Oryzias latipes: one gene and its partner. The protein of the gene in region 2 binds, or shares a complex with, the protein of the main gene of each other region. Links are inferred from orthologs where the notes say so. Each region holds a gene or a part of one and is shown on either strand. Other genes may lie near its edges.

Evidence for each region.
Region 1: the proteins of cnnm2 (region 2) and arl15 are in contact, whole or in part, in a crystal structure (PDB 8F6D), measured with the Homo sapiens proteins. The link is inferred for Oryzias latipes from reciprocal best matches to the Homo sapiens genes CNNM2 and ARL15. Residues at the interface, in NP_060119.3 of Homo sapiens: Asn490, Val492, Pro521, Leu522, His523, Phe524, Val525, Phe526, Thr529, Glu537, Lys542, Ser543, Gln549; in NP_061960.1 of Homo sapiens: Tyr92, Ser94, Arg95, Gln98, Gln128, His129, Pro130, Gln131, Cys133.

What each region holds. Positions count from the first base shown.
Region 1 is NC_019867.2:5,699,801-5,705,202, forward strand, and holds the end of arl15 (ADP-ribosylation factor-like protein 15), read left to right. Parts: intron 1-2,926; coding exon 2,927-3,079; 3' UTR 3,080-4,374; downstream 4,375-5,402.
Region 2 is NC_019859.2:29,483,071-29,488,631, reverse strand, and holds the start of cnnm2 (metal transporter CNNM2), read right to left. Parts: upstream 3,700-5,561; 5' UTR 3,298-3,699; coding exon 1,527-3,297; intron 1-1,526. Other genes in the region: as3mt (arsenite methyltransferase), read right to left, coding at 4,122-4,232, 4,924-5,046, 5,119-5,258.

The sequences.
Region 1 (5,402 bases), on a different chromosome or scaffold from region 2:
TGCAGGAAGAGGCCCCCAGTCTGCATGACCTACAAGAAGCTAGACGGAATGACCCAGTGGACGTCCAAGAAGCCATCTGGCAATCCAAGTCTTGTGTGGCTTACCGTTCCCACTGCCTCACGCAATTCCTTAAGCAAGCATAAGTGCGCTTAGGACGACTTAATCTCAGGGAAACTGGTTTGGGACACACTTGTTGACTGGCAGCGTGGATACACCCGCCTGTAAGGTCACGGGGTTCCTTCAGTCACATAACACTGAGTGAGTGTTTTTGTCAGCATGCCTTAGCCGTCTGTTGCAGAATTGTAAATCTCTGGATTGGTTGCGCCTCGTCATTGAAACGTAGCCCGTGTGAAGGTGTTTGGATCAATTAACTAGCGCGCGAACGGAGGATTATTCGATATCTCGGGCTGGCAGTTTTATGAGTGCGTTTGTAACGAGCAAAAGACTTGTCAGGGTGACGTGCTGCTGGCTGCGATCTGTGCCATGAAGCCGCGAGAGGAAGCATGAGAAGCCTGAGCCTGTCTGCACATGAACAGAGGTCACTCTTGGCCTTTTGACTGTCTGCCAGTGCAGGGGCCAGCCACTTCCAGAAGAGGGCCACAGCTATAGGCAGAGGGGGAAAAAAAGCCAGACAGGGCAGACAAGCCCCATCATCTGCAGTCTAGGTCTGCGGCCAGAGCCTGGTCTAGGGCAGCTCAAGTTACCCAGACAGATTTGTTAACACTGTTTGGGTCCACTCAGCTTTCTAGCCAGGCCAAACGCGGCTGAGGTGACTTAATCTGTCATTAAACTCACATTACACCCGGACAGAGACTCTGATCTGGGGGGACAGACGCTGCGCTCACTCTTCCACTGGCATGGCTGGCTGGGTTTAAGCAGACTTTGAGAAAACTCCCCCTCTCCTCCCGTTTGTGCCACACACCGTGGCACGGAAAGGACAGCTAAGTCCCGTCACACAGCTAAGTCATTTAGCTGCGTGACGGGCATCATCGTGGATTCATCACTGTTACCCGTCTCCACAAATCTTCAGTCTGTTGCTGTGCATTTTGACTCTGTCATTCTGAACTTGTTCAATCGCACAGAGCTGTGTCATGAAAGCCAGAGACAGATTGCAGGCTTTTATTATGAAAATATACACACGCGTGACCCGCCTTCACTGGCTGAGAGGCTGCTTTATGCCCCTCATTCTCCTTCCACTCTCATTAAAACAACACTTTATTCAAAATGGTTGCTTTTTAATTATCGCCATAGCAACCGTTGGCCTGGGGGTGAGACACAGGTGTATGTAATTTTTAGAAGAAACAGCAAAGGTAAAGTTTGGGATTTCCGTGGCAACTGAGGTTTTTCTGTTGACCACATTCCTAATATGCTCATACTGTATATCATATTGTTTCATTCAGCTTGAGCCAGGAATTCATGTATGACATTTTCAAAATATTCCAGTAACAACGCGCAAGCTACAGGGGAACGCCACTTTTGCAAGCTCGCCACGCCAGCGCCGATAAATATCTTGAACTTCTAATACTAAGCAGCAGCTTCCCAATGATGCTCGAGGAGTTGAGAGGCGATAGATTGAAATCCCCAGGAGGACTTTAAATTTGGAGCTGGTACCAAAGACGATTTTGGTTTGTTTTTTAAAGAAAATTTCCGATGTCCGCCTCTTCCCGAGGTCAAAGGTAGTGGTTGAAGACTTAAGCTGGCGGCATTTGTGTGGAATTATGTGAAGATCGCTCAAAGAAAGGGTTTCTATTCCCTTATTGTGCAAAACTGTGATCATTTCACACCTGGCCAATCCTTTGGCCCCACTCCTTTTCTGACAGTTTCTCCGGCTGTGATGTCATCATTTTTTGGGGGGTTGGTTCACCGTGTCAAAAATTCTTTTTCACTGGGTGTGTGCACATTTTAAAGTGTTGTTGAGTATTTGGTGGGCGTCAAATTTTCATTAATACACGCAGTAAGACAGTAGAATCGCAAAAACAAAGGGGTCTTTGCCGTCCAGCCCTGCTGCCGATGACACTGAAATGATCTCAAATTACTGAAAACTCTCAGATTTTATCATTCATTTTGTGGCAATGTCATCGTAAAGGAAACGTTGTCGTATTTTTCCCGTTCTTTATTTTTTCTACATTTCTGTCGTCGTGGGTCTGGCTCTGAAATTTAGAATCGCCGGACCCCGTTCACATTAAGCAAAAATATTGATTCCGTTATTTGAAGATGGAGAATGTCAGAACCCATAACAACCTGCAGGATCCATCAGTGGAGGTCTTTGGCAGTGTTCCTCTCTGCTGAGATTTGTTTCTACTTAACAGCTGGTTCTGCTTTCCCTCCAAATGTCACAGCGCCCCTCTGTCAAGAGCTGCCAAAGCCAACATATGAGCTTTGGAATCAGCTGGTCCGAATCAGAGGCAAAGCCAGATCATTTTCATATGAAAATGACTTTAGTCTTCGTTATTTGACTTTGTTCCTTTTATTTATTTGTTTACTCCACTTTCAAGCCAAAGTTGCAAAAATGGACCAGATTTTTCCTAATTGGCCAAAATGAAGTGACAATAACTTAAAAGTGATGGAGAGGAGGTTTTTGAAGCGCCGGCGGTTGATTGGCTGCTCACCTGGCGTGAGCGGCACTTCCAAACTTCGTGTTCGCGCCGACGAGCACTCAGGAACGGCGCCGAATTAAAATGCATTTATTCTAAGCTACTTCTACTAAAGCTATGCAGGAATGCTGCGCTCAGCTGTAACACAGATGCTTTTGTTTTGAATAATTTTCTTTTGTTTTTTTTAAACCTCCTAAAACGCCGTTGTGCAAAAGTTTTTAACTGCGCATCCATGGCTCGTGAAATGAGGACGTTTGGGAGGAATTAGACTTCATAGTCTAAAATCCTTCTTCTGACCGCTTTTGCATCTTTGTCCCTCCGTTTTTCTGCAGATTAAAAAGTACTTTGAGCTGGAGCCGCTGGCCCGGGGGAAGCGCTGGATCCTGGAAGGCAGCAGCACCGACAACCTGGTGGCGGTGAAGGAGAGCTTCGCTCAGTTCATTAACCTGTTGGAGGACAAAGACACAGAGCCTGCAAGGATATGATGCTAATGTTAGCAGACATTAGTGGCTTACAAACACCACATCCTGCTGCTGCCCACACACACACACCACACGCAGAAACACAAACATGTACATACTAGCAAAAACAACAGCTGTTGGCCTCTCGCTGAGATGTGTGTATTGTAGACTGTTTGCAGTCTCGTTTCTCAGTAGAGGAGTTCGCAGGAATAATGACGACTGCAAACGAGGCAGACAGCAGGTTTTAGCAAAAAAACAAACTTTTTTTAATTGTAAAGTGGTTCACCACTGTTTGTGCCAACGTGATCGGATCAGACACCAACACCCGAACACACACCTACCTTTGCAGGATGTTTGGTGAACTCGGTTGATGTTTTCCCCTGAGAAGTGCTGTAGGACTGAGAGCCTCTGTCCACAGAGATCCACCCACTGAAGTGCGCAGCCTTGTAGTTACACGCCAGTGTGTTACACTACGTCGAAAAATCTAATCTGAATAGTGTAGCTGAGTATGTGATGGAGTATTATGTACATAGAGACGCGTCCTGTGCTGTGCAGCTTCCTGTGCAGCACAAGGACGCGCTACTAGTTGTGAGACTTAAGTGCAAAGTGACTTTATGGGTTCATTTGGAAAAGTCTGAGGGCTTTAAATGTAAAACTTAGCTTATATTTTATGTGAACCTCATAGATTAACGTTTTATATATATAAATACATGTTGTGCATTCATCTGTCATATGAATTTCTTTCAAAATCACAGACCAAATGTTAACGATTGACAGAAAGCCACGGAGACATTGAAGTGTTGAGGCCGTGCTCGTCTTTTGCTCTTTTACCTGTAGATATGAACGTTTTTTTCTTTCTTTTTTGAATTGAACACGATCCTTCAGCACAGGCCGGCGTCTGCAGTTTCTCATCGGGGTGAAACACAAACTATCAATCAGCCGCAGGAACAGCTGCCTCTGACAAGCGTCTGTCCGACACCCTAATGCCTTCCAACTGTCTGGAGACCCCTCCCTGTCTGCCGTTTATCGCGCCGGACCCCCTATCCATCCGCTCCCAACCCCATTTCTGCTCCCCCCATGCCACCTCGGCCGCCGTGCCCCCACGTGGACCCCCTCCCCGAAAGTCGCAGTCGTAGTGCCACATGGTCGGTCCAAACGTGCATTTAAGAAACCAAAAACTTTTGACCTCTCTCTGTTTTTGTTCTGTACTTTGTCGGGTTTTTTAACACTTTGATCACTTTTTGTACCTGATGTGAGAAGTGAGTGGATCAGCGCATATGTTGGCTTCAATGCTAATAAATCTGTCGACAAGAAATGTTTTTCCACTGTTGCTTCATTTATTATCACCTGAAATGTTGCATTTTTTGTTTATTTATTTATTTTTAAAAAGGGGGATTTTGAGCTTTTCTAATAGTGTTTGCAGTGATCTTTTAATTATTACGATGTCATTTCCTAAGACCTAGTTTCTGCAGAGCGGCAGGAGTTCATTAGAAAATCACCTGGACCTTTGGTGCAAGCCTGCCCACACGTCCCATCATCCCTTTACAGCCCCTCACACCCCCCAGCCTGAAATCGGAGCTATCCAGGCGTACGGCCGCAGTGAGGAAAGCCAAGATCTAGTCATCGACAAGTGAACAACTATCTTCTAAATAACAACTACATTTTTCTTCTTTTGCCGTCTGCTTCCGATTCACAGTGATTTAAATAAAGAAATATTTAGAAACATCATTTTAAGCTCAATTTCTTTTAAATATGTCCTCCATCATCAGAAAAATGCCACAAGAACGTTAAAAACCATCTTTAAAGTGTAAAGCGGTGACAGAAAGGTTTTCGATCTCTGGTGAAAATCTTTCTTTGGAGTCTGTGATTTGTGAATTAAGGTGCGTCTGAGCAAACCTGACAGGAAGAGGACCTGCAGGAAAACGCAGACGGAGCCAAAGTCTGACAGAAACAAAGCGATCAAAGCGGAGAAAGTTTCGAGTGGAGAGTTAACGGGGTGAGACAGAACTTCCTGATAAAAGTACTGGGCTCTGTGCTACCTCTGCCTCCTCCTTTCTTCCCTCACTTTTAAATTAACCGTGTGGCTTTAATACAATGTGTGTCATGCAGGTTGCCCTGGCGACTCTTTGATCCTGTTTTCCAGTCCTTGCCTCTGGGACAGACGTGCTTCTCTTCAGTCTGCTGCACACCAGCTCTGGAAGCTGTTGCAGCCCTGAGACAAACCATGGGCTGCTGCGCTCATCTGGCTCCCCCTTTTCTCTCCCTGTCACTCTCACTTTCTCTCTATTTTAAGCCCTTCTTTCTCTCATTACCGTGTTTTTGTCTCGGATTTTGTCTCGGTCTCTGC
Region 2 (5,561 bases):
TATTAATAGCTCACAGCTCCTTTTCATCAGTGTGAGGTTCACCTTTGAAAGGTTATTTATGGACATTTTCATGGAAACTCAATAAAAAGGGTTTAAAATTAATTTACAAAATGTCTGACATGTTCAACAGGTTTGTGTGTAATCACACAAGCAATGAAATGAAGATGATTTTCTTTTGTAGAAACAATGATTATTCAGCCTGTGCTAGTATGGTTAATATTGAGAGACAGGATAAAAACAAATTAATAATGATCAAAAGCAAGTCTAAAGTGATCGTTTTGCAGAGATTTGTTCTCAATCAACTGCTATGTTTCCAAAAACAGATGCTATGGGACAAACTGAACAGGAAACTACCACTAAATGTTGTGGAGGTTGCAATAACTGTTGAGCAAAGTTTAAGTTGTGAGAAATGCACCAAGGCAACTGAAGAAAAACTGTAAAACAAATAAGTGTGTTGAAAAATATTCTACACTCCCGAATTCACAAGTGGAAATGAAGATTCTTTTTCTGGTGTTTCTTATGATGGTAGGTGACAGTAAGAAGTGTCCTTTGTTTTTGCAATTATCATCAATAGTTTGCAATCTGGTTGACTAGTGAGAGACTGCACTCGGATTGGCTGCTTGGCAGGGGAACGGTTCAGAATGGTCGATGAGTTAAGAAGAATATTGGTGTCAAAAAGTTTGTGACTGTAAATGTGTGTGTTTGTGTTTGTGCTGTTATAAACGTCTGACGGACATAAATAGATTTTTACCAAACCATTATTCTGCAATTGTTTATGTAAAACTTGTTTTCATTTGTGGACCTCGGTATACACCTGTAAACCAGAAATGACTATAACTGGCCCCCCTGTCCCCAAACAGTCCCTTATGTAATGCTAATTTGGCCCTGAGAGTTAATCTCTGGTAACAGAGCTGATAGATTTGCTGCATGTTTATCCACTACTAATGAGCACAAAAGGCAGCAGGCGCTCACATCCGCGTTTGCACACATACAGGTGTGCGTTCAGGTGTGCCTACTTCAGAGAAGGCCAAAGATTGTCCAAAATAGTGGTTTCTCTAGCGGCCTAGAGAAATGTGCAGATGGGAGTCCGCTTCCAGTTTGGTATTCATTGTCCACACCACTGCATTCCAGCAGAGGTGGACCAAAGCAGCTTCTCAAGCCAGATTCCCCCACCTGATAAGGTGAGCGGGACTGCTGCACCGTTCCCACAAGTGTGTGGGGTGAGGTGGGGTGGGGGGTGGAAAACAGAAGGAGAGAGGCAGAACATTAACACAGGACGCAGCGATGGGAAGAAGGATGGATAAATAAATAAGCCTTTACACTCCCTCTGTACAGGAACGACTGAGAGACATTCCTCCAAAGCAGGTTTTGTCTGCAGGTGAGCGCACAGCTGGATATGCAGACGCAGCAGCTGCGTCTGCATATCCAGCTGTGCGCTGGATGGTGCGCAGGTTGCTGTATGAGTCACCTGTGACAGGTGCCTCCGCCAGCTGCAGGCTGACAGCGGAGGAGTAAACTCGCCTCACCTTTCTTGAACTCCTCCAGCATGGTGTCCAGCTTGGTGTCGTTAAAGACAAAATGCAGAGGATGGCTGTAAAACTTGGTGATGGTTTTGAGCGGCGTGCAATCGTCCGGGTCCACAAAGGCCAGGTCCTTGACGAGGAGCAGGTCCACGATGTTGGACTTCTCGCCCTCGAAAACGGGGATGCGCGTGTAGCCGCTCTTCATGATCTCGGACATGGTGTTAAAGTCCAGGGTGGTGTCCCCGGGGATCATGAAGCAATCTCTCAGCGGGGTCATCACGTCCTCCACCGTCTTAGTCCTGAGCTCCAGCGCGCCCTGGATGATGTTCAGCTCCTCCTTCACCAAGTCGTTGTAGGGGTCCGTGACGCGCAGCATCTCCAGGAGTTTCTCCCGGTTGTACACGGTTCCGATCTCCTGTCCGAGAAGGTAGTCCAGCAGCTTGCTCACCGGGTAGGAGGCGGGAAAGGTGAGCAGCATGAAGAACTTGGTGAGGAAGATGGTGTTGGCACCCACAGCCAGGCCGTGTCTGGAGCAGATGGCCTGGGGCACGATCTCCCCGAAAATGACGATGCCGATGGTGGACATGACCACCGCGATGAGGCCGGAGCCGGCGATGTCGTCCAGCAGGATGGTCAGCGTGGTGTTCACCAGCACGTTCCCCAGCAGGAGCGAGCACAGAAGGTAGTTGCCCTGGCTCCGGACCGGCTCGATCTTTTTGGCGTAGTTCTTCTCCCTCTCTGTGCCGCAGTTCTGGACGATCTGGAGCTCCATGGGGTCCAGAGCCATGAGGCCCAGGTTCAAGCCGCTGAACATGCCGGACAGACACAGCAGCATGGAGATGAAGATGACCTGGAGCCAGAAGGGCAACAGGAACTTCTTCTCCTCCACCACGATTACTTTGGTGTCCTCCCCATCGTGGTAGATCCAGGTGTTCTCGGTCCACGGGTCGTGCGTCCCCGCCGCGGCACTCGCGGAGGTGGCGATGCAAAGGTAGTAGGCTTTACTCCTCTCGGTCTTCCGCAGAGGTTTCACGTCGATCTCCAAAATTCCGGAGGTCTTTCGGTTCAGGATGATGTTGGGGAGGATGATGATATCCGAAGTCCTGATCCCGCAGGGATGCGCGCCGGACCAGTCATCCGAGTCCTGCTCATCCCAGGAGGAGCTGTCGTAGGCGCGCGCCGCGCGGCTGCGCTCGTGCTCCGTGAAGGCGATCTTGGACCAGGTCTCGTTGTTGATGTTCTGCCCGTACACCCGCAGGCGGACGCGGGAGCGCTCGCTCACCCGGAGGAAGCCCTTGTCCATGAAGGAAATGTCGTCCGTGTCTTCCAGCCGCAGCCCGATTATGACGGTCTCCTCGGAGCCCTCCGCGCCGCTCGTCGGGGTGCCGCAGCAGCCCGTGACAGTCAAGAGAATCATCGCCAGAGCTCGAACCCGGTTCAGTGACGCCATGTTTGCGGCGGTTTCTGCCTGGGATGACGGATCTGCCATATCGATCAGCAGTAGAAGTCGACCTCCTGAATGAGAGGCGCTGTGGATCAGAGTCCGTCCGAGTCCGCCTTCATCTCCGCGCACGGCGGCCGGGACTGGTGCATCGGGACACGCTCGTTCCCACGACGTGTCCGACACTGAGCTCAGACTTTGGGGCCACTCACGCCTCGCCTGATGTCCCCGAGACAGGCGACGGCGGCGACCAATCAGGGGGCGCAGACGGCCAGGAGGCGGGGCCTGCGCAGCTTCCTCGGCGAATGAAATTCCCAAACAAGTGCACCTCATGTGAAGAAGCCTGGCTGAGTGAGGGGATGACAGACACTTTCACGCTCCGTGACCGCGTGGAGTGACAGAGCTGCGCGCAAACGGTCCTCCAAAAAGCCACAACTGTTTCCTCACAGCAAATGAGCAGATTTGACCGGGCAAAAAGATGCGAGGCAGTTTCTTTTCAGGAACATCATCCTTTAAACTTCAGGGATTCCCTAAATATTTACTCTCAAGTCTGCATTCTTTAAATCTACATTTGTGTCCGTTGATCATAGAGTCAAACATTTGTTTGGCTGCTGGACAGGGGGTAGGGGTGGGGGGTGAAAGTCCTGATTAGATGCAAACTTTTCCAACCTCTGACAAAAAACTTTTTACCCTCCGCTGGTTGATAGATGGAATAAAACCAAAACATTCAATGTTTGAATATTTTTATAGCTACAGACTCACGACGCAGAACATTAGAACTCTATAAAGATGATTTGTGTGCAAAACTTAAATGAAAAAAGGTCAAAAAGACAAGTTTTGATGTGACAATAAGAGCTTTAATGAACTGGCATACATTATTGTCTTTAAGGACATTTCTGAATGAACATGTGATCATTAACCTTTCTATACTGCTTATTAATGTTTTAACTCATTCTTTGGGTTTCCATTTAAAATTATTTCTCATTTTGAAAGATTAGAACTAAAAATAAACCAGTTTCTTCCTTTCTCCTTACAGATTTATAGACTGGAGCACAAAAAAAAGGAAACAGAAAGTCACAGGCAGGACACCGCTTCTGAAAAGGTCCTGTATGCTGACGGAGCGGTGCAGCATTGTCCTTCCCGTGGTCTTCCCAGCATCACTTGCAGCAGTCAGCAGGTCGAGTGCTGCAGCACCCCCCTCCTGTGGCCGAGACGAGGCCCTGCTCGCCGGACTTGAGGGCCAGCTCGAAGGGATCCGCGGCGTTCGCCTGCATCAATAATTCAGCGTTAGGAGCTGAGAGCAGAGATGTTATCTGGCTTTGTGCAGCAAAGTTGAGTGCCATCAGAAATCAAAGCACCGCCCACCATGCTTGACAGCGCAGGATTGTTTTCAGTACTTGTAGCTGCAGTTTTACAGGAACGAATAAAGGTGGTCCTATCAGCTAAGACCCGTGTGGGTTAGGCAGACTTTCTCCTCCTTGATTCCTTCAGGAGGTGGGCATGGTGGTTGGCGGATGGGTGTCAAAGGTAAATAGTAAACTGACTGTAATGAATCACTTCTAAAGTACTTTCCACGCATAAATGCTTCAGCAGAAGCTAAAAGAAGTGGTTATCTATGAGTACGAGAGCTTTGTAAAACAGTCCAGCAATATTGACAAATGTGTACATGTGCCTGTGCACTTCTGACACCAGGAGCTGATAAGATGTCACTGCAAGAGAAGAGAACATTCCTTGCTGCTCAAGGTTCCCAGCATGACTCCAGTCCGATTATGTCTGCAAGCAGCTGCTCAACCCTCCGAGTGTGTGTGTTGCTGTGTGTGAGGCACAGAGCGTGCAGCGCGTGTGCGGCCGTGGGTGTGTCACGCTCTTCCAGCTGGTATCGGAAACACACTCATCTCCACTGTGACAAAGGCGCACAGCAGAATACTTCATTCCTCAGACTGTCTGGGAAACACTGACCTCAGCTGGGACGCTGCGGGGCTCACAGGAGCCCCCTGGTGGCTGGAAAGTGAAGTCGTCTGCAAACCTGGAATGTTTCAGGATGCTGGCCAGCTCCTGGTCCACCTCCACTGGCTCATTGGCCTGCAGATATTACCACCATGTTAAAACATTTGCGTACACAAAACCTGGTTTCTGCAGGACTGACACACAGACCTTAAAGGTGTAGCAACAGTCAAAGTGGAGGACAGTCTCTGACCCTGGAATCCCTCCGTTGTACATCACCCGGCAGGCCTTGGACTGACCCCTGGGGAGCTTGAACAGGCGGTATGTGGCAGAGACAAATCTGAAATCACCTGTGTGACAGAAGCAGATAGGAGAATCAGACCTGATGCTGGTGAGCAGCATTGATGTCTGAGGAAACGTCCTGGATGATCAAAACACTTAAGTGAATCGATGAGAACAAATGATGAAACTAAAGCAGCTGCGTGAGAACATTCCTTCCTGTTCGGGGTTCCCAGCACAGGAGGGTGGGGCTTTGATTTCTGATGGTTTTCTGCAGACTAACAATCATCACAGCTTTGAATGAGGAGTGTGTACAGTGTGCCTCTTCTGGAATCAAAGGAGGCGGTCCTGGAAACTAGTTCCTCACCATTGAC